Cricetulus griseus: one gene and its partners. The protein of the gene in region 6 interacts with the protein of the main gene of each other region in a pairwise test. Links are inferred from orthologs where the notes say so. Each region holds a gene or a part of one and is shown on either strand. Other genes may lie near its edges. The genes, in order: Resf1, swi5-dependent recombination DNA repair protein 1 homolog, Nup54, Ccdc88a, Cep295, Exoc1 and Srgap2.

Evidence for each region.
Region 1: the proteins of Exoc1 (region 6) and Resf1 interact in a two-hybrid assay, tested with the Homo sapiens proteins (2 studies listed by BioGRID and IntAct). The link is inferred for Cricetulus griseus from reciprocal best matches to the Homo sapiens genes EXOC1 and RESF1.
Region 2: the proteins of Exoc1 (region 6) and swi5-dependent recombination DNA repair protein 1 homolog interact in a two-hybrid assay, tested with the Homo sapiens proteins (2 studies listed by BioGRID and IntAct). The link is inferred for Cricetulus griseus from reciprocal best matches to the Homo sapiens genes EXOC1 and SFR1.
Region 3: the proteins of Exoc1 (region 6) and Nup54 interact in binary tests that used the Homo sapiens proteins (3 or more experiments, as listed by UniProt). The link is inferred for Cricetulus griseus from reciprocal best matches to the Homo sapiens genes EXOC1 and NUP54.
Region 4: the proteins of Exoc1 (region 6) and Ccdc88a interact in a two-hybrid assay, tested with the Homo sapiens proteins (2 studies listed by BioGRID and IntAct). The link is inferred for Cricetulus griseus from reciprocal best matches to the Homo sapiens genes EXOC1 and CCDC88A.
Region 5: the proteins of Exoc1 (region 6) and Cep295 interact in a two-hybrid assay, tested with the Homo sapiens proteins (2 studies listed by BioGRID and IntAct). The link is inferred for Cricetulus griseus from reciprocal best matches to the Homo sapiens genes EXOC1 and CEP295.
Region 7: the proteins of Exoc1 (region 6) and Srgap2 interact in a two-hybrid assay, tested with the Homo sapiens proteins (2 studies listed by BioGRID and IntAct). The link is inferred for Cricetulus griseus from reciprocal best matches to the Homo sapiens genes EXOC1 and SRGAP2.

The regions. Positions count from the first base shown.
Region 1 is NC_048601.1:387,014-390,972, forward strand, and holds the start of Resf1 (retroelement silencing factor 1), read right to left. Parts: upstream 2,801-3,959; 5' UTR 2,549-2,800; intron 2,511-2,548; exon of another isoform or gene 2,162-2,510; intron 1,758-2,161; 5' UTR 1,693-1,757; intron 1-1,692. UniProt on the Homo sapiens protein: Plays a role in the regulation of imprinted gene expression, regulates repressive epigenetic modifications associated with SETDB1.
Region 2 is NC_048596.1:13,804,928-13,809,218, forward strand, and holds the start of swi5-dependent recombination DNA repair protein 1 homolog, read right to left. Parts: upstream 2,801-4,291; 5' UTR 2,658-2,800; coding exon 2,645-2,657; intron 1,592-2,644; coding exon 1,062-1,591; intron 384-1,061; coding exon 1-383. UniProt on the Homo sapiens protein: Component of the SWI5-SFR1 complex, a complex required for double-strand break repair via homologous recombination. Acts as a transcriptional modulator for ESR1.
Region 3 is NW_023276807.1:157,226,286-157,229,785, forward strand, and holds part of Nup54 (nucleoporin p54), read right to left. Parts: intron 2,887-3,500; coding exon 2,690-2,886; intron 1,438-2,689; coding exon 1,383-1,437; intron 994-1,382; coding exon 900-993; intron 1-899. UniProt on the Homo sapiens protein: Component of the nuclear pore complex, a complex required for the trafficking across the nuclear membrane.
Region 4 is NW_023276807.1:77,811,636-77,815,135, forward strand, and holds part of Ccdc88a (girdin), read right to left. Parts: intron 3,496-3,500; coding exon 3,358-3,495; intron 1,983-3,357; coding exon 912-1,982; intron 1-911. UniProt on the Homo sapiens protein: Bifunctional modulator of guanine nucleotide-binding proteins (G proteins). Acts as a non-receptor guanine nucleotide exchange factor which binds to and activates guanine nucleotide-binding protein G(i) alpha subunits.
Region 5 is NC_048597.1:128,863,392-128,867,463, forward strand, and holds the start of Cep295 (centrosomal protein of 295 kDa), read right to left. Parts: upstream 2,801-4,072; 5' UTR 2,786-2,800; coding exon 2,668-2,785; intron 2,602-2,667; exon of another isoform or gene 2,422-2,601; coding exon of another isoform or gene 2,391-2,421; intron 93-2,390; coding exon 1-92. UniProt on the Homo sapiens protein: Centriole-enriched microtubule-binding protein involved in centriole biogenesis.
Region 6 is NW_023276807.1:142,982,077-142,985,576, reverse strand, and holds part of Exoc1 (exocyst complex component 1), read right to left. Parts: intron 3,224-3,500; coding exon 3,064-3,223; intron 1-3,063.
Region 7 is NC_048598.1:57,700,363-57,703,862, reverse strand, and holds part of Srgap2 (SLIT-ROBO Rho GTPase-activating protein 2), read right to left. Parts: intron 2,511-3,500; coding exon 2,295-2,510; intron 1,491-2,294; coding exon 1,362-1,490; intron 1-1,361. UniProt on the Homo sapiens protein: Postsynaptic RAC1 GTPase activating protein (GAP) that plays a key role in neuronal morphogenesis and migration mainly during development of the cerebral cortex. Regulates excitatory and inhibitory synapse maturation and density in cortical pyramidal neurons.

The DNA of each region.
Region 1 (3,959 bases), on a different chromosome or scaffold from region 6:
CATATGAAAACAAAAACCTGAGTTTAGCCTCCTTTGTGATTTCTTGGTATAAGACCAGATAAGAACCCAAGGTAGAGAATAGCAGAGCTCAAAGATAATACTTACTTAGATATCTGTTTGATAGTTCTAATCTTACTTGAGATACTTATCTCACTAAGCCTGCTCGAACTACACCTTTCATTTACAACTTCATTTAGCATACAAGGAATTCTAAGCACTGCACAGGTGCCTCTAAAACAAAAAAAATCCGGAAGGTCTTAAGGTTTTTTAGTTTGCATTTAGTTTGCATTTCTATAGCCAGGGTTGGTACAAATTCTTGCTTTACCTCAAACTGCTTCCCAATGTCTTTACAGGAATTAGCTTCCAAAGAAATGGGAAGAGAAGCCTGCTAAAACAAAGATGCTTGAAGTTCACCATTACTAAACTTTAACAAGATAACAATTCCCTAAGCAGTTGATTTCCTAAAATCATGGCACTAATAATGTAAAGGAGAAGGAACTAACCAAATAGGTGATAGAAAGAAAGAAAGAAAGAAAGAACTAGGGAAAGACTACTGTACTCCAGGAATTCACTGGGTAACTTTGACTTCAAACAAGCTGTAAGCAGGGAATGCAAATCTAATCCCAGCATTCAGGAAGACCAGAAGGATAAAGAGATGAAGGCAGGTCATCTCCTGCTTGACAGCAAGTTCAAGGCCAGCCTAAGCTACGAGATGGGTTTAATATGTATTTTAACTTTAAATTACCAAATTGAACTGCCTATCAAACAATTCCATAATGTAAGTACTACTGTGATCCCATTTTATAGATGAGGAAGCTGAAGCAGGGAAGTAAAATTCTTCTGAGATTTTACAGAGAGTGATGGAACCAAGTGGTAGTGCCAAACTAAGAAGCTTTATAGTCACGGGATAGAAACACCCTTCCCCACCCCCAACCCCTTCCAGATCACTGAGTATAGGGGTTGAAAGACATGACTCAACAGTTAAGAGTACTTGTGGCCCTATAAGAGGACCTGGGTTCATGTCCCAACACCAACATGGTAGATACACAATTGCCTGTAATGTCAGTTCTAGGGGACCCACGCCCTCGCCTCCACACACCAAGTACTCTTACAAATGGGCACAACTTATGCTCATAAAACAAATTTTCAAAAAAAAATAAAAATAAAAGAAAAAGTCACTGGTACTACATTCCAACCACAAATTAAGAGCTAGCCTCTGCCTAGGTAACATTAATTCACCAACTAATATAACCTCTCCCAGGGTAGCAATCAGGCCCAGAGTTCCAACACTGCCCCCACAATCATCTCTCCCCTATTTTACTAAGGCATGAATAAAAAAGTAAGTAGTAAGTGCTTTTAGGCACCATGCCAACGATATTATTTAAGCTTTGTCATCAAATCCACTGTGTAAGGGTTTCATTTGGGGGAAGTTTGTTTTTAGTTTTCTAGATTATTTTCCAGACAGGATTTCTCTATAGCTCTGGCTAGATCTGCAGGTGAAGCTGACCTCGATATCAAAGAGATCTGCATGCCTTGGCCTCCCAAATGCTGGAACTAAAGGCATACCAGGCCAAGTTCTGTAGGTTTAGCCAGTGTTGATTCAACATTTTATTCCAAAATAAATTACTCCATGGTAAAATGTTAGTAGTTGTCCAGTAAAACCAGGACAGGCTTTTTAAGGTGCAGACTTACCTGTAAATACAATTTTATCTTTTAGTCTCTTCCACGAGGGGTACGGTACGTTCACACCTTTGATCCTAGGAAAAGCAAAAAAACGTTTTAAGATATAGGGCAAATCTACCTTAAAGTGATACTGAGAGCATACTAAGTTTACTGAATTAGTAATAGTTATGCTAAAAACAAAACCACTAAACTAGGGTAGTCTCAAAATAATCCCTGCCACCAGAACTCAAGTGTGCTCCTCCAGGTCCACTATTGTCCTATAATTCCAAAGCAAAAATACTTCGTTAGCAATTTTCGTTATTGGGTTGGTAAAAGAGAAACCTACTGGGGCTTAGGAAAGAGGCTACTAAGACCTTAGATTGTCAACAAGAAACAAACTTAAGATTTCTCCTTAAAAGTAACACATTTAGCAATTTAAATGCCCACGCAAGTTCTACTGCTGGCCTATTGGAACGCACGCCAAGCTCACACACTTCACCTGCTTTTTCATTTTTCTAGGAAAACACTCAAAGTACCACAAATGCAAACTGCTTCCGAGATGCTGCGGGCCGCGACGCTCACCCAGGCCTGGGCGGAGCGCAATGCAAAGCCGCTGGGTCGCAAGGGCGGGGGCGGTGCTGGGGCGCGCGGAAGACAAGCCAGAAAGAAACCGAAAAACAAAACAAAGCTCAGCTTCTCCTCCCGAGACAGGAAGGAACGTGAAGCTGCAACACGACCGCCCGCTACGTCAGGCCAACAACCGCAGACCGCGCGCCCGCCCCGCGCCGCGACCCCAGCGGGCTGCGGGCTTCCAGCGTCCCCTCGGTGGGGACGGAGGTGACCGAGAGCCAGACTGAGACCGGATCAGAGAACAAAAGCCGCAGACCTGCCGCCCCTCCGGCTGCTCACTCGCCTCTAGCACGGACCGAGGCCTCCGCCAAGCGCGCGCACACCGCGCCGAGCTCCGGTGGCGGCCTCCGTTTGGGCGGATCCAGCTGGCTCTGCGCTCCGCCCCCGAGCGTCTGCCCAGGCCCATGGTCCTAGTGCCGGGCAGATAAGCCTTCGGCTGAGCTTAGTGGAACATGCCTTCACATCCAGCATTTGGAAGTGAGAAGCAGGAAGATCTCTGTGAGTGAATGAGCCCAGCCTAGCTGGAACTGAAGGAACAGAACAAACTTCATTTTGAAAAAAAGGCACCGTTTTCATATGTGGTCCAGGGCTGATTCAGCTCTGGCAAAGGAGCTATAAACAGTTCTAAGAAAAACCACAAACTGCCTGCCCCAGTCAAAGAGACCATACCGGGTGGCCAGCCAATGACTACATCTGCTCTCCCCAGATGCCCTTGCGGGCAATTCTTGTAGCTGTGTTAGAATTATCCTAGTCCCCAGCCAATGAATTTAAAGGTCACAATCTTACCCAATCATGAAATGCCAAAGCATGTGCCGCCCTGCTTGCGATTTTTCCCTTTAAAAACCTCTTATCCTAAGAGCTTGGAGTCATTCTCCTTCACTGGCTGCATGGAAGTGTTTGGTTGACAGTCGAAGCTTGAGCTTGTAATCAATAAACCCCTGTGTGTTGCTGGGTGGTGGTGCACGCCTTTAATCCCAGCACCCGGGAGGCAGAAGCAGGCGGATCTCTGTGAGTTCGGGACCAGCCTGGTCTACAAGAGCTAGTTCCAGGATAGCCTCCAAAGTCACAGAGAAACCCTGTCTTGAAAAACCAAAAATAAATAAGTAAATAAACCCCTGTGTGTTTGCATCCAGCTTGTAATCAATGAACCCGTGTGTTTGCATCGGTTGCTGACTCTGTGGTGGTCTCAATTGTGGGTCTCTTGACTTGAGCTCAACAGAAATAGGTGGGATGGATAGATAGATATGTTAGACCCCCAAAAACTCAAGTATCCGGGGTCCCAGGCCAGGATGGCGGTCACCCCAATCACCAGGCGGATTCGAGAGCTTGCTGCAAACTGCACAAGGCTTTATTGTAATTTAACGAGCTATCCCCATGTTAGCTCGGGTCTTTCACCCACCCGCCATGGTGGATGGCCAGAAAAGACGGCTCCTAGGGGCTCCCGAAAGATCTTATAGGGCAGCGTAAGGAGAGTGTCTAGGGGTATGCACAGGCTCACGATTGGTGTGTCTCCAGCCTTGGAGGGCTTGCCCTGTGTTGATTGGTCAACTGGTTGTTATGGCCCATAGGCCCTCCCAGGGTGGTTGCTATGCTCTGTAGTCATTGCTGTGCGCTTGTCCGTAAAGCACACCCAGAGCCATAAAGCATAGCGCCACCAGCTAACTTCT
Region 2 (4,291 bases), on a different chromosome or scaffold from region 6:
TACATTTTGACAAGTTTTAATCTCCGAAGAAGTTCTTCCTTCTCTTGAACCTGCTTTGCCAATTTTGCTTTTTCTTCCTTTAATTTTTCTTTAGTATTCTCACTCTCAAAATCATTTTGGAGGGCACTGGAGGACCCAGTACCAAGTGACTTAGATTTGCATGCATTTGCATTCTCTGAGCTGTCTTTTTCAGACGCACTGTCTTTGTGTTTCAAACTTCCTTGGAATTCGGAACAGCTTTTTTCTTTTGATGATGCTCCTGGTTCTGAAGAGGTCTCATAATTTTCCTCCTTCTCTACTTTAAGTCGTTTCACCACACTACAAAAAGAATGAGATGAAGACCTTGTTTTCTTTAATCTTTCTTTAAGTGTTCCACTCATAGGCTGAAAAAGACACAAACAAAAATATTAAGAAAACATTCTTTTGTTTGTTTTTCAAGACAGAACTTTTGTGTGGCCCTGGCTGTCCTGGAACTAGGTCTTTAGATCAGACTGGCCTCAAACTCATAGAGATACACTGGCCTCTCTCTGCCTCTTTGGATTAAAGACATGTGCCACCACTGCCTGTCTAAGAAAACATTCTTCAAGTGAATCAATCTATTAGAAATAAAGACCGTACATTTCTATAGTACGTACAATGGGCGGCTTTTTGTCTCCACAAATCTCAAGCAAGTATCACTAATGCCTTTATTTCCCAGAAGCTCCTTTAGTCTTACTTTAGCAAGGTTAACTTCCTAAACTAGGCCTGAGACACTTCTCCCAGTCATCAGGAGTATTTGTTCAGCAGCTAGCACTTGCCTGGCAACACTAGAAATGCTTCAAAACTACAGACTAGGGAAAAGACCTGTCACCAAAGACTTTCCCTAAGGAATAGTATATAATTCAAATTTGAAGAATCTCAATAACCTGCTAAGAAACTCAACAAAATGAACTGATTCAAGAAGAAAATCTGGCAAAGACAGGAAGGCACAGGCTACACACTGACACTCCAGGGTCCTTAAAACTGCCACTATCAGAACATTTCAAAACACAGAAAGGGGGTGGAAAGCAAGATTTTCATACTTGTCTTCCTAAAGTATTTGTTTGGGGTGATGGTAGAGTATCACTGGTCCCCGGAGTGTCAGGTAAAGTCGATGCTGAATCTGATGTGCTCTTCTCCACCTTGCTCGATGCTGAATCTGATGTGCTCTTCTCCACCTTGCTCGATGCTGAATCTGATGTGCTCTTCTCCACCTTGCTCAATGATGAATCTGATGTGCTCTTCTCTACCTTGCTCGATGCTGAATCTGATGTGCTCTCCATCTTGGCGGATGTTGAATCTGATTCGATCTCCATCTTGGCAGAAGCTGAATCTACTGCACTCTCCACCTTGATGGATGATGAATCTGATTCGCTCTCCAGCTTGGTTGATGTTGAATCTGATTCACTCTCTATCTTGACGGATGTTGAATCTGATTCGCTCTCCAGCTTGGTGGATTCTGAATCTGATGTATTCTCCACCTTGTTAGATGCTGAATCTACTGCACCCTCCATCTTGGTGGATGTTGAATCTGATGCGCTCTCCATCTTGGAAGCAAACTCCTGATTTCCTTCTAAAAAGGAAAAGGCATGGTGATCAAATTAATATTTCAATTTTAATCAACAAAATTTTCCTTAGTGTACAAAACACCAAAAAGCCAGCAATTTCTTCCAATTATATATAGCTGTGATTTTTTCTAATTCTTTTCGAAGTTTTTCATTTACTTCTCCCCATGGGGAGAACAAGGTTTTGTTTTTTCACAACAAATTAACCGGCTATTATGCCATTGACTCTCACTGTTCTCCTTAAAATATCTCAAAAATATTGCACTTCGGGGAGGAAGGGAACTAACTTTACATAATCGAGAATTGTTTTTTTTAATTTTTGTGATAATTTTGCAAATAAAAGTGATACAGCTGGAATAATATAAATATCTTGAATCTTAAAAACTTTGTGCCTAGAACCAAGAATGCTGCAGGCAGGAGCCTTAGAAAGCAATGTGCACCCTATTTTGGTTTACCAAGGGGAAAGCCTCCCCAGAACCCATCTCCTCCTCCCTGGGCCCCATCTCCTCCTCCCTGGGCCCCATCTCCTCCTCCCTGGGCCCCATCTCCTCCTCCCTGGGCCCCATCTCCTCCTCCCTGGGCCCCATCACCTCCTCCCTGGGCCCCATCACCTCCTCCCTGGGCCCCATCTCCTCCTCCCTGGGCCCCATCTCCCCAAGCCCACTCCTTCCCTGCCTCCAGCACAGAAAGCCATCTACCACTCCCCTGGCCCCTCCTCCTCGCCCCTCCCCACAGAAAGCCATCGCCCCTCCCCACAGAAAGAACCCCTCTCCCACAGAAAGCCATCTACCCCGCCCTCTCCCACAGAAAGCCATCTACCCCGCCCCCTCCCCACAGAAAGCCATCTACCCCGCCCCTCCCCACAGAAAGCCATCTACCCCGCCCCCTCCCCACAGAAAGCCATGTATCCGGCCCTCCCCCGTCCTTTCCCCACAGCCCTCTACCGCACAGGCAGGACAGGGAGGCCGCGCTCGGGCGCCGCCGGGAAGCGCCGCTCTGTCAGCGCCACAGGCCGGCGGAGGCCGGGCGCCCGGAGCGGCCGCAGGGAGCAGGCCCCATACCTTCGTCAGCCATGCCCACTGCAGAACAACAGAGCCGCAGCCAGCGTAGCGGCCACAGGAGACGGGCTCGCCCCGGGGGCGGGGCCCGGGGGAGGAGACACGTCCGATTGGCTAGCGCCGCCGTAGCGGGCGGATGTGCCTGGGCCAAGCTCCCGACCGCGCGTGCGCGCAGGGCCGCCAGCCTCAGCCAGGGGGCGGGGCCAGACGTGCGCCGCTCGTGATTGGCAGGGCCGGCGGGCGCGCTTCGGGGCTCAGCTCCGCTCGGCGCGCGCGGCCGCCCCCGGGAAAGACGGCGCCGAGACGCTCTCTGCCCGGGCCTGAGGGGGGCGCGCTGCCGCCGCCGCCGCCACCGCCGCCGCCGCGGTCCTTCGCGGGCTGCCTTCTCGTGCCGCCTCCGGGGGCGTGCCCCGGAGAGAGGAGCGCGAGCCCCGCGCCCGCCCGCCCGCCCCCTGGCAGTCGCTCGCTCCCCGCGTTTTCCTCAGACGTGGCAGCGCCGGAAGCCGCGGGGCCTGCTCGCTCCCTGCCCGCGAGCCCTTCCCAGGCCTTTTGTGGTCACCGCTGGGCAGTGTGCGCGGCCGCGGGCGCGCCAGGAATCGGTGCGGGCCTCCGCAGCCCGCCTGGCCGCCGTCTGGCCCCCGACTTTGCTGTGCCCGCCCCGGCTAGTGGCTTCGCACGTTTTGGTCAAACCTGAGAAAACGTAACCTAAGGGCGTCCTTCTGGCACAGGGCGGGAAGCAGAGCAGTCGAGGGTCGGTGCAGAACTCACCTCAGACCCTGCGAGGCTACAGACTCGGCCTGAAACGCCCCTCCGTTTCCGGTGTTCGGGGGCGGGGTGGATGTTCGGATGCTAGGCAACCGCCGAGGGAAGCAGCTTGCTTGGGTGGAGCCCTGGGCGTAGGGAAAGCAGCTGAGTAACTTGTGAGTCACTTGGAAGTTTGCAATGGCAAGGACCACTCTTGTTACAGACGTGTTCTAACGGTGCCTTTGAAGTGCCAGAAAAAAGTGATTAGAGTCCTAAGCAGCAGAAACTTAATGAGGTTATTAGGCCTGTAGATGTTGCGGGCAGTTAATTGCCTACGTTCAAGTCTGGCACCCTAGTGGTTTTTTTGTTTGTTTGTTTTTTACTTGGTTTTGTTTTGCTATGCAGTGTAGAGGCCGTGTACCTGTTTGATGGTTTGGTAAGTGAGAATATCTACCTCCTACAGACGGGGAAATTAAATGATAATTTATGAACGGCAGTAAGAACAATTCAACTACCCAAAAAAATTTAATGGCGTTTTTTATTCAAGCATACTCGTCATCCCCTAATTGACCTAAAGCTATGTATCACAAGCTTTTATCCCTTACCTTTCTTCCCAAAAGCTCAGATTTTTTTCAAAATGGTGCTATGTCCTACAAAATTTCACACAGCCTAAGCCATAAATACCAGAAAACATGGAGTCTTCACATATGACTATTAATAAATATTTCACTCCTAAATGTTTAAGAAACATGAATTAACCTTACCAACTTCAGGACACCAACAACAGAATTTATGATTTTATGATACAGGTGCTACTTGCCAGCGCACAGATCACTCTGCCCACTAATCCTCACTTTTTCCCTGGTAGGAGTTGATCTCACTGCAAAAAGGGACTTTCTTGCCTTG
Region 3 (3,500 bases), about 14 Mb from region 6:
TGATGCGCACACACCTGAAATCTCAGGACTAGGGAGGTAGGGGAGGGGAATCAGAAGTTCAAGGTCATCCTTGACTACAAGTGAATTTGAAGCTAACAATTTATTTTAAAGGTGATACTCATGAATTCAGTGTGTGCAGACTAACATAATAGAGCCTGGAAATTAGGCCACAAGAGATCATGCTAGAATTTTTGGTCAGAGAAACACTAAGAAGAAAAAACAATTATGTGTAAATATTTGTAAGGCTTTACGGGAAACAGTGGCTATGCATACAGAAATGCTAAATCAGTGTAAAAGAAGAACTGCATTCACAGAAATGGCTGGCAATGAAAGGGATTGCTTTACAAACAGTAAGCTTACTCATGTCTAATGAAATTGGAATCGAAAGAGAATGTGGAAGTAGATCTGTAGTCAGAAAACCAACAGTGCATGAGATCTTGTTTGATTTTAGAAGTTAATCAGGGTTGGGTCTGCTAAGTCCTTGCATTAAAAAAATAAAATAAAGCAGACTTTGAATAAATCTAGGCTATAAATCTAAACTCATAAAATACATCAAATCAAATTCATGAGGCTAGAGAGTTGGTTCAGATGTTAAGAGCACTGGCTGGTCTTTCAGAGGACCCAGGTTCAATTTCACACTCAAACTAGTCTGTAATTCCAGTTCCAGGGGATCCAATGCCCTCTCTGGCATGATATGTGATATATAGACCATATAGGTAACAGTCATACACATAAAATTAAAGGAAAAAAAAAAGTCTATGTGTAGGGGCTATACCATAAAGAAAGCAGGTGCATAAAGCTGTTGCTGTTGATCTGCAGTGTGCTAGTTTCCTGTAAGAAAAAACAGCACACACATGGTAAAAACATCTCAGGATAGAGAATGCAAGGTATATGCTTACATCTAATCTGGTCTGATGCTGCTTAGTCATCTGGTCTTGAACCTTCAGTCTTCGAAGCAGTTCTTTGAAACCCACCATCGGTACAGGAATTAATCTAAAATGCAAGGTCACTTTTCAGAACTTATTACGAAAACCATGAAGATGTATTTCATAATAGACCTCATATAATTTTATAATGAATTTCTAATCTGTGGCATTGAGACCAACAATTACTATGCTATTTCAACCTCCCTATTTTATGAAGAAATACAGGTCAGTCAAAAACTTGCATTATAAATGAAAATGCAGTAAGTGGCTAGGATTCAGGTTTCTCCATTCCTACCTAGTTTCACCTCATCTTACTGCCTTACCATGGTAGAACTGTTTTAAAAAGCAATGAAAATAACTCTTTAAATTCGAGAATACAACTAATAGCCCATATTTGTTTGCTTTCTTTCTGGCAAGTATCAGTTTGTATATAAAATAAGATGGTGATACACTTACTTTTCAGAATCGGGGTTATCCACCTTAGCTTGTTCCCAAATAATAGGATCAACACCTACCACAAACAAAAATATTCAGATATTCTTTTAAAACATATGATTTTCTGCGTTTATATTTGTATGGGAAATGCTTTCTAAAAATTAGACACCGACTTCAGGAGCCATGAGGAATTACTTTAAAAAAATGATCATTACAAAAATAATCTTATAAAGATGGATTGAAAGAAGTATCTGCAACATACGGTATAATACAACTAACTCTAGAACACAGAAAGAGTCCACAAAAACAAAAGCACCATGAACTGAACAGGAAATGAGCAAAGGACATCAAAAGTCTATTCTCAAATATGAAAAGATAGTCAACCTGGTCATCAGGAAAATACACTACTCTTTTTAACTAATTTATGGGAGGGAGAGGGTGGAAGGGAGGAAGAGAAAGAGAGAAAGCGAATATATTACAATTGCAAATATAATTGGTAGAAAGTTCTTTGAAGGGCAATTTGCCAGTATACCTAACAAACATAACACAGTGATTCAAGTCTCACTACCAGAATTTTATTCTAGTGGACTTCTTGGTGTAGAGGGGAGTATTGGTGCCATACTATGTTGCTTAGGCTGCCCTCAACCTCACTATGTAGTCCAGGTTGTGACCTCAAACTCATGATCTTCTGCATTCCATCTCACAAAGGCTGAGAGTACAGGTACCAGGCATCTTATTCTAAAAAAAACTTAAATGTGCATGTGTTCTAAGATAAATTTCTACAGATATCAACGGCTGCTTAGTTTGGAATGGTTAATGCATAGAAACAATACTAAGTAAAGTATATCTATAAAATACTATATAGTGTTTAAATAGAATAAAGTTCATCTTCATGTACTAACACGAGAAATACTAAGAAATACTGTAAGTGAAAAGGCAGGCTGCAGCCAGTATGTATGCCTTTATTTAACAACACAGACACAGGATCGGCAGAGTCCAGCGCTACTAATAGTTACCTCTAGGAAAGAGAGACAAGCTAGAATATCAGTCTACTTAATTGGGATACCTAGACTTTTTTAAAAGAGCAAACACATTTAAGTTTTACTTAAATAGTTAAAACAAAGATTAAAGAAACCCAACACATTTCAAGTGAATTACCTACACGCAGATAGATTATGAATTATTATCACTTCCCAAAATTTCTAATGTATTAGCTACATAATTTAAACTCAACTGACTAAAACACAGTATTCAAGAATACATTCCAAGTAAGCAGACATGTGACAAGCTCTAGCATTAATAACCAACTAGCCAGCTCCAGCACATACCTGCAGGAGGGTTCTGCAAGAGCTGTTTGATCTGAGCAGGGGACAGTTCTGTTCTGGTCATAGAAAGTGTCACCCCAAGCTGCTGCAGCTGTGTCTTAATGTTAGCTTGCTCAAAGTGAGCATACAGTGTTGTTGCTGGGACCCTTCTCGAGGTGCCATTTGGAGAACGCTCAACAACATAAATGACAACTTCTGTCCTAGAGGAAAACAGCCAATTTAAAACACACTGACTTTATGACATACAGCGACAAATACCAACACAGCACAATGATTTATAACCGACAGTCACAAATGTTTTAAGACTGCTGGCTGAAGTTGGAAATAGTTTTCATAGGAGAAAAGTTTTTTTGTTTTTTTTTTTTTTAATTTTGAAAGTAAACCTCTATGTTAGGCTCATTTGTAAATCAACTTAAATGACAAAAACCAAAACGAGGTAGATGAATGTGATAGAATTTGTTTTTTGAGACAATTTGCTCAGTGATATATTTCTATACCAAATATTTCTTACTATTCCCCACCCCCACACCCCCAGAACTATTTACTCTCATGGTTCTGCCAAATTTATGGGCTACTTTCTGCAAGCAAGACCCAAGAAGTATAACCTGAGTCAGTCACCAGATAGTGCTAGAAACAGCAACAATATAATTCGCCTAACCTTAAAGCCACCACCACCAAGAAGAAAATGGCAGAAGGACAAGGGAACTAGAGCAGTCCCGCTCTTCATGAATGAGCAGGGTAATCAGGCTAGACATGGCACTGCACTTCTGCAACACTAGCACAAGGCTAGCCTGGGCTACAGAATGCATTTCTG
Region 4 (3,500 bases), about 65 Mb from region 6:
TTTCTAATGCTGTGTTATAAAATGATAAGAAAGTCTGTCCTGGTAAACACACAAGATGGATTTGAAAACAGTAAGGAACCTCCAACATACTCAAGGGCTTTAATGAAGCACAGAAACTTATGTGCAATTTGTTCCTATGAACTTACATAAGATACAACACCCTTCCACTAGGACAAACCTCTTTTCTTGTGGTAGAAGGAAGAGGCCTAACACACTGATCTCAAGAACTAGCAACATTTTTTATTGGCATGTTGCTCATATTGGCAAGTTCCTTCTTAAGGCCTCAAAGAAGAAATTCAGACACAGAACTGTAAAATAACCAACCCTGTCCTCATGCCAGCATCCATCCCCATACTTTAAACTGAGCATAGACTCCATTCTGACATATTTCTGATGTAGCAAGTATTACAGGAGATGTCACCAAATTTTAGAAATGTCAGAATTCTCAATAGTTCAGTGTTGCAGTTTAAGTTGAACCTGATTTTCATGCTCAGGCTTCTAAAAAAAAAAGTCACAGCGCTTTGGAGTTTGAAAGATCTAAAATTTCGAGCAGAAATTCAATTCTTTTATTAACTCTGTGATTCTGAGGAAGTTAATATTTCTGAACTTATTCGTTATTATGAAAGATAGATAGTATTTAAATGATTGGTTATGAAAATCGTATCAATTTACTTGAATATACTCTGCATGGGACTCTTTAGCCAAGTTCCTGGTAAAAACACTTACTCCAATTAATTTTTAAATGTAATTTAAACTTTTCATCTAAATAGGACAGTTAGAAATTGTTTCTAGTTCTAATTCCAAAATTTTACTGAAGTATAGGAAAGATGATACAAGTTAAAAGTGGGTTCAATAAAACATGGGCTACAAATATAAAAAATGTTTGCTTAAGTTTAGGTGAATATATTTACCTCACGTAATGTAACCAGAGTTTTAATATCAATAGTTGCTCTTTTTACAAGCTCCTTATTTTCTTTTTCTAATTCTTTCAGACGAACACAGGATTCTTTATATACACTAATTTCTTTAAATAAAGTTTTGTTTTCTTTTTCCAAATTTCCAATTTTTACATTATTTTCTTCTAACGTGGTATCTTTTATTTCTGCTTGTTGCCGGAGTCTCTTATTTTCCTTCTCCAATTGTTTCTTATCCTTTTCAAGTTGAGATGTCTCTTGCTCTAATGATTTATTTTCTTTTTCTAGTTGTTCAAGTCTTTTGCTAGATATTTTCAATTCTTCTAGGTTTTTTTGTAATGTTTGATTTTCCATCTCTAAGTCTTGTAGCTCACTCTCTAATTGTTGTATTTTTTTATTGCTATTTTCTAGAGCTTTCTGTAGCCTTTGATTTTCTGTGTCTAGCCCCTGGTAGCTAACTTCCAAGCGTTCAGTCTTCTTGAAAGAGGCTTTCATGAGCTCCAGGCCCTTTTTGAGCTGTTCCTTCTCGCTCTCTAGCTCTTTGTTCTCCAGCTGGAGCTGGGCCATTTTCACACTTGCACACTTCAGAGACTCCACGTTCCTTCGCAGTTCCAAGTTTTCCTCATCAAGTTGGGAATTCTCTTTTTCTAGGGATTCTAACTGAAAAGTAAGGTTTTTAAAGCTATCCAAAGTTTTTTTAAATTTTCTATTTTCTCTTTCTAGTTCCGAATTTTCTTGTTCCAATGCTTCAATTTTTTCACAAGTAATTTTTAAATTAGTTATCTTCTTCTGTAACAATTCATTTTCTTTTCCAAGATGATGCAACTCATTTTCAAGTTCTTCTGCTCGCTCTCCTTTTTCTTTATAATGCTCCAATTCTTTTTTCATTTGTCTTTTTTCAAATTCCATCTTGCTTAATTTTCCACTTGTTTCTTTGATAGATTCATGGAGAATCTTATTTTCTTTTTCAATGTCCTTCACTCTTGCCTCAGCACTAATCTGGGATCGCTGTCGTAAGGAAGACACTGTTTGGTTCAGATGTTCATTTTCCTGCTCCAGTATTTTAATCTAATTGAAAAAAAGAAGAAAATGTAAAATTACAATGCATAAGCATAGTCTTTAAGCTATCAAAAACTAACAAGAAAAGAACATGGGTACTGGAGTATATGGCTCACTATTTTTAACATGACAATGTTTTCTGAAAGACCACCTTGTAGATGCACTTTCAGACCACTAAGTTCATGTTTTCAGGGACTTAACAATCTAAAGGAATATCTAAGAATCAAGTATTTACAATTAAAATGATGTTCGGATTATTTAAGACTTAATCTACTTCAAATATCCTTAAAGACACAAGGTTTTAATTTTCATCAAATAATCTTTATTTTGCCTACATAAGGTGGGTCCTTGGTAAGTATGTGTACCTTATTTGTTTTTGTGTGTGTAATCATTTGTGAAAGGAAATTTTAACTGAGTAACATATAAACAACAAAATGACCTAGTCCATCTAAAAACAAATCCATCCAATTTGTAGCATAACCTGTTCTGAGTTTCAAGATGTTTGTTGCCATCTCACTCCTTCCTTGTTACCATGGAGGGAGTACTGTGCATTCTCCAACTTGTCTTTAAAATCTGCAGGGCTATTCTACAGACATGTGAAAAGCACAGGAACTGAAGAACATTTATAATCAATTGTTATTAAGTAAACTGGCAATTTACATTTTTCTAAGCTTCTCTTCCAATTTTCTAAAATTATGGTATAGAATATGTACAATGGTATAGCAGTTCCTCCCTAACCAGACAAAATATATTTCAAGATCCCCCACAGACAACCTGAAACTGCAAAGAGTTCTGAGTCTGTATGTACTGTTTTGTTTCCACACACTGTTGATCATTTATTAGGCACAGTAAGAGACTAACAATAATTTTATCATAGCCCTGTATATATTCTTCCTTTCTTTACTATGTGGAAAACTTTAAACTTCTCATCTTAAGGAAGCACTTACTAGTTTCCTTGACATATCGAAATGCTAGTATTACTATTTTTGCAACTTAGGACCATTATCAAGTGAAGTCAGGATGACCTGAATGAAAACACTGTGACAGCAGTAATAGGCAGGCAGTGGATATACAAGGAGAAACTTGTGTGCAAAATAACCATTCATGTGCATCACCTGGAATGGGACCAGATTTCATGACACTACTCAGAAGTATAGACAACTCAGACTTTACAGATTGCTAACTTTTAGAAATAGCTGGATACATTGGATGACTTGAAATTTTGAACTGTAACAGACTTCAGTTTACAGTGAAACAGCAGAAGCAAAACTATACATAAAGGAAGCTATTACAGTCAGTCTGAAATCTAAAAAGTGCTAGTTGGTTTCCTTGTAGTGGTGTATAAACATTTACTTTAACACAACCAAGTGAGAAATACACGAACCTGCCTCTCGGAATTTTCTCTCAATGTCTCAATTGTTTTTTCAAGCTGAGCTTTCTCTTTCATTAGATCCTTGCTTAAATTTTGACAATTCTGAAGACTTCGTTTTTCTTGAATAATTTCATTTTCAAGAATTTCAACCTAGA
Region 5 (4,072 bases), on a different chromosome or scaffold from region 6:
CAAAATGAAGGCTTCCTCATTAGGACTCAATCTCAGCTTCCCAGTGTTCATTACCTTTCTTTTCATTTCTGTGTATTTTAAATTCAAAGGATCTGAATTGAAGAGAAATAAATATATGAATGTCTATAAAATATATTACAGAAATAGGGCAACAATTAAAATAATTACAAAACTTCAATGTATTTATATACATATACACCCACATGTAAAATCACACAGGTAAACAAAGTCCAACTTATTTACAAATAGTTATAAATCTGGTCTTTAGATCACTGGTTGTCAGATGGATGAGAAAGAAAATGAAGAATGGGTAGAATTGCTCAGAAGTTTGTCCCCACCTATAGCGACTGACAAGATTTCAGACCTTACTTTTTCCCTGTTTTGGCATTTCCAAAGTTTATGAAGCACTTAAAAGATGTGTTGGCACCGAATAAATGTTTTCTCAAGAACAATTTAACCTGGTAACCTATATGTAAACAAAAAGAAAAAGGGTCCTTGTTTGCTGTATATAATTTAATCACCTAGCACCACTAAATTTATTGCATTTTATCAATTCCATGGGCTTAGTCTAAAAGATTCCTCAACAATTACCATGACCAAAAGTAACTTGGGAATAAAGGGCTTATTTCAGCTTACAGTTCTACATCATAGTCCATCATTGAGGAAAGTCAGGACAGGAACTCAAACGGCAGGAACACAGAAGCAGGAGCTGATGCAGAGGCCATGAGGTGTTCTGCTCACTGGCTTGCTCAACCTGCTTATATCATTCAGCATGAACAGCCCAATGATGGCACAGTACACAGTGGGTCAGGCCCCATCAATTATTAATCAAGAAAATGTATTACAGATGTGCCTACAGGTAGATTTTATGTGAGCATTTTCTCAGTTGAAATTCCTCTTCCCAAACCACTCTAGCTTGTGTCATGGTGACATAAAACTAATCAGGATATATGTTATCCTTTTTTAAAAATGACCACTTTAAAATAAAACAAAACTAAGAATAATCCTAATTGTATATGTGAAGTACTTAAGATTCCCAGGTATATTCTTCTATTGCTATTTTTGGGTGTCCCTGATGTCCACTCTACACTTCTTTTCTGTGTCTATGGTTCTGAGATGGAACTCAGGGCTTTGTACATGTACATACTTCCACTGTGCTACAGTCCCACTCCTCTTCTCTAAAATTTTTAACATGCTCTTAACTAGAAGAATTTGGTATGGGAGACTAGAATGTGATAATCTATAGCTGATCTAATTTGAAAACTCTTTCCAAGTAATTCTGCTACCAACCTGTTCCCATGATCACTTAGCGTCACCACACCATTGTGATTTTATATGAGATGAGTGCACATCTCTCTGGTCTCTTCATAGTGATGAGCAGGCAACTGTATTACTGGGTATTTGCAGCTCTGTGAAGCTAGTTTAAGCTTAGCCCCTTCTACTTTACTCACTCATCTTACCTAGAATATAGACTATCTATATGCATTTTCATAAAGGGATGGCTTGTCCTTTACTTTTCACTAATTACTATTTGTCTTTTGTAGCTATAGTTTTGTTTAAATTCTCAATACTCAAGTAAATATAATAACTTAAAAATACTGTTTTGATGAAGTGCTTGGGTAACCTGGTAGGAACCAATACTTTTTTCATCAAATTCTCCATCACAAGTGTGGCCAGGACAAGGGTGGTTGTATTCATCACCTTATGTTTCTGTCTAAAAAAGCTGTCTTGCACTTTATAGATAATTTAGGGTGGACTGAATTAGACAGTGACTTAGTACAGTACTACATGGGCAGACCAAGTCATGGTTATATACAAGAGGGCTCTGATGTCAAACAGGAGTAATTGCTTGAGTTGAAAACCTTTTCCAATACATCCCATTGATATTCTTAAAAAAAAAAAAAAAGCAAACTCTAAAGGATGGCTGGGGATCCAAGGGAGGAATATTGCAAATTGTTTCCCATAGGAGAAAATTATTCCTTCTACAGTTATCAAGTAGAATCCTGTTGTCTGGTTTATTCACAAGTCATTTCTATCCGTGTGGATTTCCAAGTTCTATGCTTTGTAACTGTGCAATAATAGATACAATAGGACTTACCCTGATATATTTCATTGCGATAATTAAGCAGTAGTATCTGACACGCAGTAATCACAACATTAACACTAGACTTAACCGACGTGGATGCAAAAGCCAACACTGCCATTCACTAGCAGAAGGCAGTAGCCAAGTCTGAAATCCCTTGGGTCCCGTTTCTTTACTCCTTGTAACGGTAGTAATACCCACCACACGGGGTTGTACTAAGTGTGGCTTAATTGCTGCGAAACCGCCGAACACATTATAATAATAATAATAATAATAATAATAATAATAATAATAATAATAGACTAACAAGCATTCGGTACCGTAGTTTCTTGTCGCATAGGTTAGCCTTGAACTCGAGGCACTAATACCTCCCGAAAGAGTGCTGGGATCTCTGGGTGAACCAACACTCCCGGCTGAGACTGCCATTTTTTCAAAGCCCACTGTGACAGGAGTCTCCGGGGGTCGGATTGCACAGAAGCGCCACGCTCTCTGCAGGACCCGCCTCGGGAGGTTTAAAGGGCCGGAAGGCTCGCCCGCCTGCTCGCGGCCTGCGGGGAGAACCCCGGCGGGCCTCCGTCACTCACCTGGCAGCGTGTGCAGTTGGACCTCACGGCACACGGGCGTCCACAGGCGGCCTGCTACCCAGCAGCCGTTTGGGCCCCTGCGGGACGACCATCGCCAGGTTCTCGTCACTTCCGCCATTCAAACGGCCCGCCAATGGCGGGAGCGGACGGCGGGAAGCACCTTGCTCCCGCCTCCGCCGGGGCCGCCGGGTAGGCCTCGCCGTGCCGAGACCCCGCCCACGTGTGGTCCCGCGCACGCGTAGCCCTGCCTACATGCGCGCACGCGCAGTTTTGCGCCGTGGCCCATTATTTCTCACAACTACGGTCTGGCGCTGTGTCACAGACCCGAAAGCAGAGATGTGGGAAAGGGAAGCTCTCTGGCGGGCCATGAAAGGGGACATCAGTCCTTCTTGTTCTTGAGGCGCGTTTGGTTCAGTTGCCTGGCACTGTTGACCTGCTGATTGGACAAATGTTGTGCTTTACCAGGCTGACGTCTTGGAAAGAACATTTCCCAAGTGGAAACTGGGGATTGAGACGTGCTCCGTTTTTAATGGGAAACCAGGAGGAATCAGAGCAAGCGCAGTAGGCTGAGAGAGCGTCAGGCTGCACATCGCGACTCTTACTTATTACATGCTAGCCTGGACCCTAAACCCCTGGAGTCGTAGTTTACTTTAGACCTTTATTGTTGTAGACCAAGCCACCCTGGAATGTCCAAAGTGGCGTGTTCTTTTCACCTGGCATCTGTTTCCTAAGCGAAGGGTTCTGCTGGAAGTGTTCAGTGGAGTGCCTGGCTCCCTGTTCCTTTGCCATGGGGACCAGACATCTGTCTCACTGCTTGTTCCCTGTGTTTTCACAGGGAATGTCCTAAGAGAGCATTCTCCGGGGAAAGAGTGAGGCTGCTGAGTGCTTTTGCAGGGAAGCTGAGGAATTGTAAAATTTGCCGCATTTTACTGGCTAAGTGTCAGGGCCAGCCCAAATGCAAGTTAGGAGGAAATTCTTTGTGGGCATCTTAATCCTTAGTAATACTTGACTTGCCCTCGTCCCTGAGTCCACGGGACACTCAAAGTTAATAATCATGTGAAGGCACTTTGCACATTCTCAAAAACTATAAGGTCTTCTGTTAGAGTGTTTTCTTTCTTGTTTAAAACTTTGCCCTTTGATATAGATCCAGCCCCTCAGGTCACAGAAGTATGATCAAGAAAGGACAATTGCCATCCTCTCTCTTGCCTATGTGACTGGCCCATGCATGGGTACATGTCCTAAACTGGGCCAACGGTATTTTGTAGTAATTGTTCTTACTGGAACCAGCAAAAATGAACACATTCCTAAGTTTATGCTGGGGTATGAATCTGGAGCCTCGCTGTGTAAATTCTTCATCAAGTGACTCTACACAAGCTGATCTGAAAGCACAAGTCTGACACACAAT
Region 6 (3,500 bases):
TCTTCTCCTCAAACATTCCTTTGGGAGCTAATAATGAATAGTACTATTACTTTTATTACTCTATGGATTTTGTAATAAATTTATCCTTGTATACAACTCCATAAAATATGCAACCAATAGTATACAACAGGGGCAAGTAACATATACACATGGAATAGAGTAAGAAGAACAGGGTTACGCACCTTCTGTAACTTTAGGCAGTTCTGGAGAGTAAAAGGTACGAGAAAAGCAGAGGAAAGTAAGCAGAGAATATTAGCTGGGTAGAAAATAGTGTACAGATTTAAAACTTTTAACTACTACCCATATCTCATTTGAACTTCATGCGGAACATGGGTTCTAAGGGCATTGCCAAAACCAGCCACAGTGGACAGATTCCTAAGAAGCTGAACTTCATGCTTGTTTTTCTTCTTCGCTGTGTAAAAGTGTCCTTCTGTATCTCCTCTCAGTCTGTCAGAAACAGTACTGACTAGTCCTTGAAGAAGAAAACTGGGAAACTAAATCATTTCCTGGGGAGTATTTTTAGGTCAGTTGTGACTCATGCATTTAGTGTAGTTATTTTCACTCCAAGTCCAAAGCTTTCCAGGACACTCCTTCACAAAGGATTAGTCACAAAACACTGTTTCAAAGAATACGACTGAGGTAAGAAACAAACAAAGGAGACAGCAATGCAAGCAGGCATTCAAAGGTTCGAGTGGAAGATTATTTAACAATCTAGCTGCAAGTCAAAAGAAAAAAATAGAAAACAGAACTTCCCTCTCCATCTCTAAAACTCCAATGTTCAATTGTCATTTATTAGAAACTATGAAAGTTGCTGCTGCCTCTGCTACATGAACGGTTACAATAGCATCAACTTACTTGGGTGACTATTTAGCTCTTCACATAAGGTGGTAATGAGGTTCCCTCCACCCCAAAATTATCCAAAACCTAGAGACATTTACTAATTATACATGTCAGCATATTAGGAATAAATAACATCTGGAAACACATAATATTTGAAAACAGAATGGCAAGCTTTTCAATGAGTGACTGACTTATGAGAGTATTCTTGCCTCAATTGGTAACACGCAAAACAAAAATCTCCAAAGTCATTCAAAGAAAATGAATCTGTAATTGAAGGTAAGAAAAATTCCTAGGGAGTCCACACACCCTGCAGTCAGACACTAGTGATATGGCAGCGCCTTGATGCTCCTAACCTAGGCCAGTGTCTCAGTGGGAAGAGGTTTAGGTGTGGGGGCTGCTCAGATCTGCCAGATATAAATATCTGCCAGTTCTAAGCATCAAGGCCAGAGAGTAGAACTGCTGGGAAAGAATCATCTACTTGAAAGGAGAAAAGTCTATAGCTAAATAAAACAAAAGAGGCAAGTGGCCAGATAAATGGTTTGCTTCAAACTATATCATAAATTATTGAACACTGGGCCAGAGAATAGCTTGGTGGTTATAGAACCTTGCCTGGTGACCCAAATGCAATCCCTGGAAACCATATAAAGATGAAAGGGAGAACTCCACAACTTTGTCCTCTGACCTCCACACAGGTGCCATGGGATGCACATGTTCTCCTCCCAATAAACACATAAATGAAGTTTTAAGGCGGACATGATGGCTCACTGGGAAAGTTAGGCAGGAGGCCTAGCCTCGAGAGTTCAAAGTCAGCCTGGAATTTACTACACAGTGAATTGTAAACTAGCCTGGGCTTCATAGCGAGATCCTGTCTCAAAACAATAAAAGACCAGTTTTCTTCTTTGGGATAGAGAGTACTATACTAACTGCATCCATGGGCAATTCAGAACCATTTCCATATACTGCTTACACCCTTAGGAAAGAAATCCTTTCAAAGAATGTAATCTTTCTGAACATTCTAATACTTCAGAGAAGAGGTTGTCCTGAGACACAGAACAACAGTCCATAGGAACATTTGCAAAGGCAGATAACTCACAAATACCCTCATTAACCTCTTGTCTAAGGATTCCATGCTGCTAAGAAGAAATGAGATTTACGGAGCATTTACTATAAACCTGGGATATTTATAATAACTGTAGGTAGATACTATCATCATCTCTACTTTAGAAACAATGGGAACTGCCAGAATTTAAACTCGGGCAGTATAAGGCCAGAACTGTACTAGTTATTACTATGTCCATGGTAGGCAAGAAAGTAGTGCTGTGGGGACATTTATCCCACAGCTGTTTAAAATAAGAAAGGGCAGGAACCATAATAAACACATAATGGCATAGCCAGACAATGGAATACTCTGATGCTAAAAAATGTTTGGAGTAAGTATTTAGTAACATAATAAATGTTTGGGCTGAATTCATATATGAAAAAAAAAGAACGCTAGGAAACAAAAGTGTAAATTTCTCTATAAGAAAATTATTTAAGTATTCATAGAAAAAAGCCTAGAAGAATAATACACCAAAATTTTAACAGCAGTTATCTCCTAGGAATATCTTTATAATTGGGCATTTTTTTAAGTATTGAGATTGAATCCAGTGTCTCTGCACATGCCAGGCAAGTGCTCTACCAATAAACTGCATTTCTAGCCATCAGTGTTTATTTTTAGACAGTCTCACTAAGTTGTCCAAAAGCCTCACTCTGGAGCTGAGGCAGGTCTTGAACTTGCAATCCTTCTGCCTTAACCTCCCAAGTAGCTGGGATTATTGGCTTGTGCCACCAAGTCCAGGCTTATGAGTGACTTTATTTTTTAATTTTTTTTTTCCCTTTGGTTTTTCGAGACAGGGTTTCTCTGTGTAGCTTTTGGGCTTATCCTGGCACTTGCTCTGGAGACTAGGCTGGCTTCGAACTCACAGAGAATCCACCTGCCTCTGCCTCCTGAGTGAGTACTGGGATTAAAGGTGTGCGCCACCAACACCCGGCTACTTTTTAAATTTAATATACCAAAATCCTATAATGTACACTCATAACGTCTTCACTAAGAAAAATTACTTTGAAATTTTTTATGACATATTGTGAAGTAAATTCAGTATCCTAATTACTTTAAATAACACCAAATTATATATTCATTAAGGATACACTTGACCACACATATAAACTTTCATTTTCTTTTACCTTCCAAAAGCTGTGAGCTAACATTGACAAAGTCAATCTTTTTGCGGAGATAGCGCTGATTCAGTTTCCAAATGCATGAGATGAATGCATTCTTTTCAGCAGTGCTGCTGGCAACCCACTTATAGATTTTTTCAAAATGTAAATCAAATTCAGGGTTTTCCTAGAACAAAAAAAAATGTAAAAGTTCATTTGATTTTGATCCTATCACTTTTCATTGTTAATATAAAATCTATTTAAAAATTAAAAATGGAAGCTGTTTTGGGGGGACAAAAAAAAAAAGACTATTAAAAAATACCATGTAAATGGTTAGGTATGTAGCTGCGTGGTAGCACTCTTGCCTCACATATCCAAGAGCCAGGCTTCCATTATTACACACAAACATCAACCAAATGAACTGAAATGCTCAGAGAATATAATTTATAGCAAAAACTAGACAA
Region 7 (3,500 bases), on a different chromosome or scaffold from region 6:
TGGTGTAGGGTTTGACCTCCACTGAAGGACAGTGTTCAGATTGGCATCAACAAGCAAAGAGAACAAAGAGGAGCCTGAATGCAGACCAAGGCTCCACTTACCAGCTGAGACGATGACATCTAAGGCCTTAGGAGGCCAAACCCTACAGATCAAAACTCCCTGGCTGAAAGGAAACTAGTCTGTATTTTAGAAAAGTTCCCCCAGCAACCCTGATGTAGGCCAGATTTAAACAGTCCAGGTCTTTATTTTACTAGGGGTAGAGTGGTAGGAAATAGAGCAGGGTTCCAGATTAGTTCAGAAGCAAGCCTAAGATGTGCTAATCAGTTATATAATAGTGAATCTGCGCCCAGATTCCCCACATGATGTAAAGCATAGCAGGTATGCTTGTGAAGAAACCAAGGTGGAAAACCACGTGCTGAGTCTTGCAAGCTCAGCTGCTATTGACAAGAACCCAAGGCAGATACCAGGTCTCAGAAAGAATACTGCTGATGTCCTAGAGACTGGACTGCTGATGCTCAATCAGCTGGCTCCAGGCGCACTTTGGTGACTCAAAGAAGACATGAGAAAGGGTTTGCTTACATAGCTTCATACAAAGCTGGTCCAGGAATTGGGCTGGACTACATTCTGAATGTGAGAGACATTTTAGGACACAGAGATTGAGGAGAAGCAGTAAGAAATCAAAGCAAAGCGTAACCCACAAATAAAACATGTATGCGTACTAGCCCCCCTTCCTTTTTTCATTTTTGTGCCATTTTCTCAAAAGAGAACAGAGCAGATAGCAGTAGCATCTGGATGCCATCTAGATAGGACCCTAGTCTGCAGCACAATGCAGACCCAAAACCTTGGGCAAGTAGGTCTCTAAGCTCTCTGGATCACAAATTAAGAGAGCATTGAGTATCTATAAGAGTGATGTGACAATGAAATTAGAAAACAACAAGAAACATGGATTGTTATATAAACATAAAGGAAGGCATTTTAACTCTTGTGTTGCTTCTTTCTACAAGCTTCTGATATAAGAGACTATTATTTGACAAACAGAAGAGCACATGGGTTTAGGAATCAGAATTTGGTACAAATTTTGTCTCAGCCTTTTACTAATTCTGGGTAAATCACTAAACTCTCTGAATGTCAGTCAATATTATAGATGGTATTTGCTTTTCTCTCATGAATGCTGTGAGGAATGAATGATATCAAGTGTAAAGTGCATCACCTTTACACAGTGGATCATGGCTGCTACCTTCAAATTGGTCTCAAAGTGGCCAACATGTCTGAACACAGAAATGGGGAACATGTGAAGTGTAGGCTTCTGAAATGAGGCAAAGAGATACCCACAGCCTCCCACACCAGCTTTAAGTACTTACATCGATAATATCAGACAGGTCATGGATATAGTACTTGAAGACAGATGCATTGGTTGCCTCCAAAGCCAGTAAGTACTCATTCCGGGCTTTAATGGCCTTCAGCTTATTCTCTGTGTACTTGGCTTGTCGCTAAAAAGAAAACACAAGTTCACTTTTAGTCATTTTTTAAAGTTAAAAACATTAAAAATGTTTACTTATTTCATATGATGTGGTATGTGTGTGTGTGTGTGTTTCCATGCACATATGCCTTTGTGTTTTTGTGGAGATTGGAGGGCAATTTGTAGAAGTCATTTCTCTCCTATCATGTGGGTTCCTGGGATTGAACTCGGGTTGTCAGGCTCAGTGGCAGTGACTTATCCGATGAGCCATTTTGCTGACCCATCACTATTACTTTTTAAAATAGAGGTCAAAACTGTTCTGTGAGAGGTGAAGGACAGCACGCCAAGAGCTTCCACTTTGCTGCTACTCCCTGTGTACATCTGCTTTAAGCTGGATTCTAATTCTGATTAATGAGATGAATATGGTTCAGATGTGTACTCTACTTTGATTCTGTCTTCACATACTATTCTCCACCCTTGCTGTCACCCTGGAGAAGGTACTTCCACGTCTCCCGTGAACCCTGGTATTTTAAAGCCAAACTACAAGGTCCACAGTCTCCCCTACTTCTTAAAGCAATAGGACATTCAACTCCATTTGGAAAATGAGCTGAGTAAGGTGACTACTGATTCTTGTCAATACACTTGAAATTGAAGTCTGAGAATTCATATGCTTAGGTTCTCCAATAGCTAGGATTCATGGTAAGACAAAGAATGATTCGGCACTAAAGGAACTAGAGCTGCTTTGTTTAGCTCTTCATGACACCTACTGGGGAATTCCTCAATCCTGCCTTCTGAACATCCCTTTCTGTCTCTAGAGTTGCCAGAGCACATCTACCTTCTCCTTCATCTTCTCAATCTTCTTCACAGAGCTCCTCCGGACATGTTTCTCCTCAATGCGGACATTGGCAGTGGAATCAGGGGAGCGGGGTGTCTGCCGGTCCTCTTGCTTCACTGATTTACCAATTTGCTTCTCTTCTTGCTTCTCTGCTTCCTTTAGTTTGCTCTGAGCACTGATACTGTCAGCATTGTACATGTGGTATGTTTTCATGACCTGCAAGGCATTTCCATCCAGAGGTCACACAAATGGCATCAACTCTACATGAAGCAATATTCATATTCCTCCAGGGAATGTCTGGTTCAATACATATATATGAAGGACCATGCATAAGTATAGGATGGTTACTGCAATGATTCCATATAAGTTTCATCAATGTTTTTACTTTCATTCATCATTATCTGTAAGCATGACCTTTATATTGGCTCAGTAATCTTTATTGCTTAGTCACCGAGTGATACTAAGTAAAACAAGAAATAACAACACCTCTTTCAGACCCTAAAGGCAAAAGGCAACATGACCAAAGGAATACTCTATATTTTCAAATATAAAGCAAGGAAGAAGAAAAAGTTCCAAATGTTCTGGTCTGCTTTATCTCATTAGACACTTGCTCTCACAGAAACACGTCAATAGCAGTTACCACCCCTTGTTAGTTTCATTCATTTAACAATTCTACAGCCCAAACAATGTCCTGTGAAGGCTGTAGACCTGCATAATTCAGGTAAGAGGCTTTGAAAGAAGAAATTACATATCAAGTGTAACTGGGATTGGCCACAAGCAGAAAGTAACATAAGGCGGGGGACATAGGGTTGGGTATAGTGGTACATGCCTTTAATTCCTGCACTCCAGAAGTAGTACAGGAAGATTTCAGTGAGTTCAAGGCCAGCCTGGTCCACATAGCGAGTTCTAGGACACCCAAGACTACATAGAGACCTTGCCTTAAAAAACAGACAGGGAATGGGGGAAGGGAGGGGCGAGGGATAAAATTTTCAAATTTTCCAAAAGAGCTATTGTCCAGGAATTGAATATTATTTCTTGGCAAGAAGGCCAGAAGATAGAATCTCAGCTAATTTTTAGTCCTCTCAAATATATTACTTCCAGCCACACAGGAGCTGACCTTACTCTGCAGGAAATTTCTGTTTCCACATAGGCAGCTTCCAAATTAAAATACAATAATAAATCAAGCAATTGGAAATTCATGAGTAC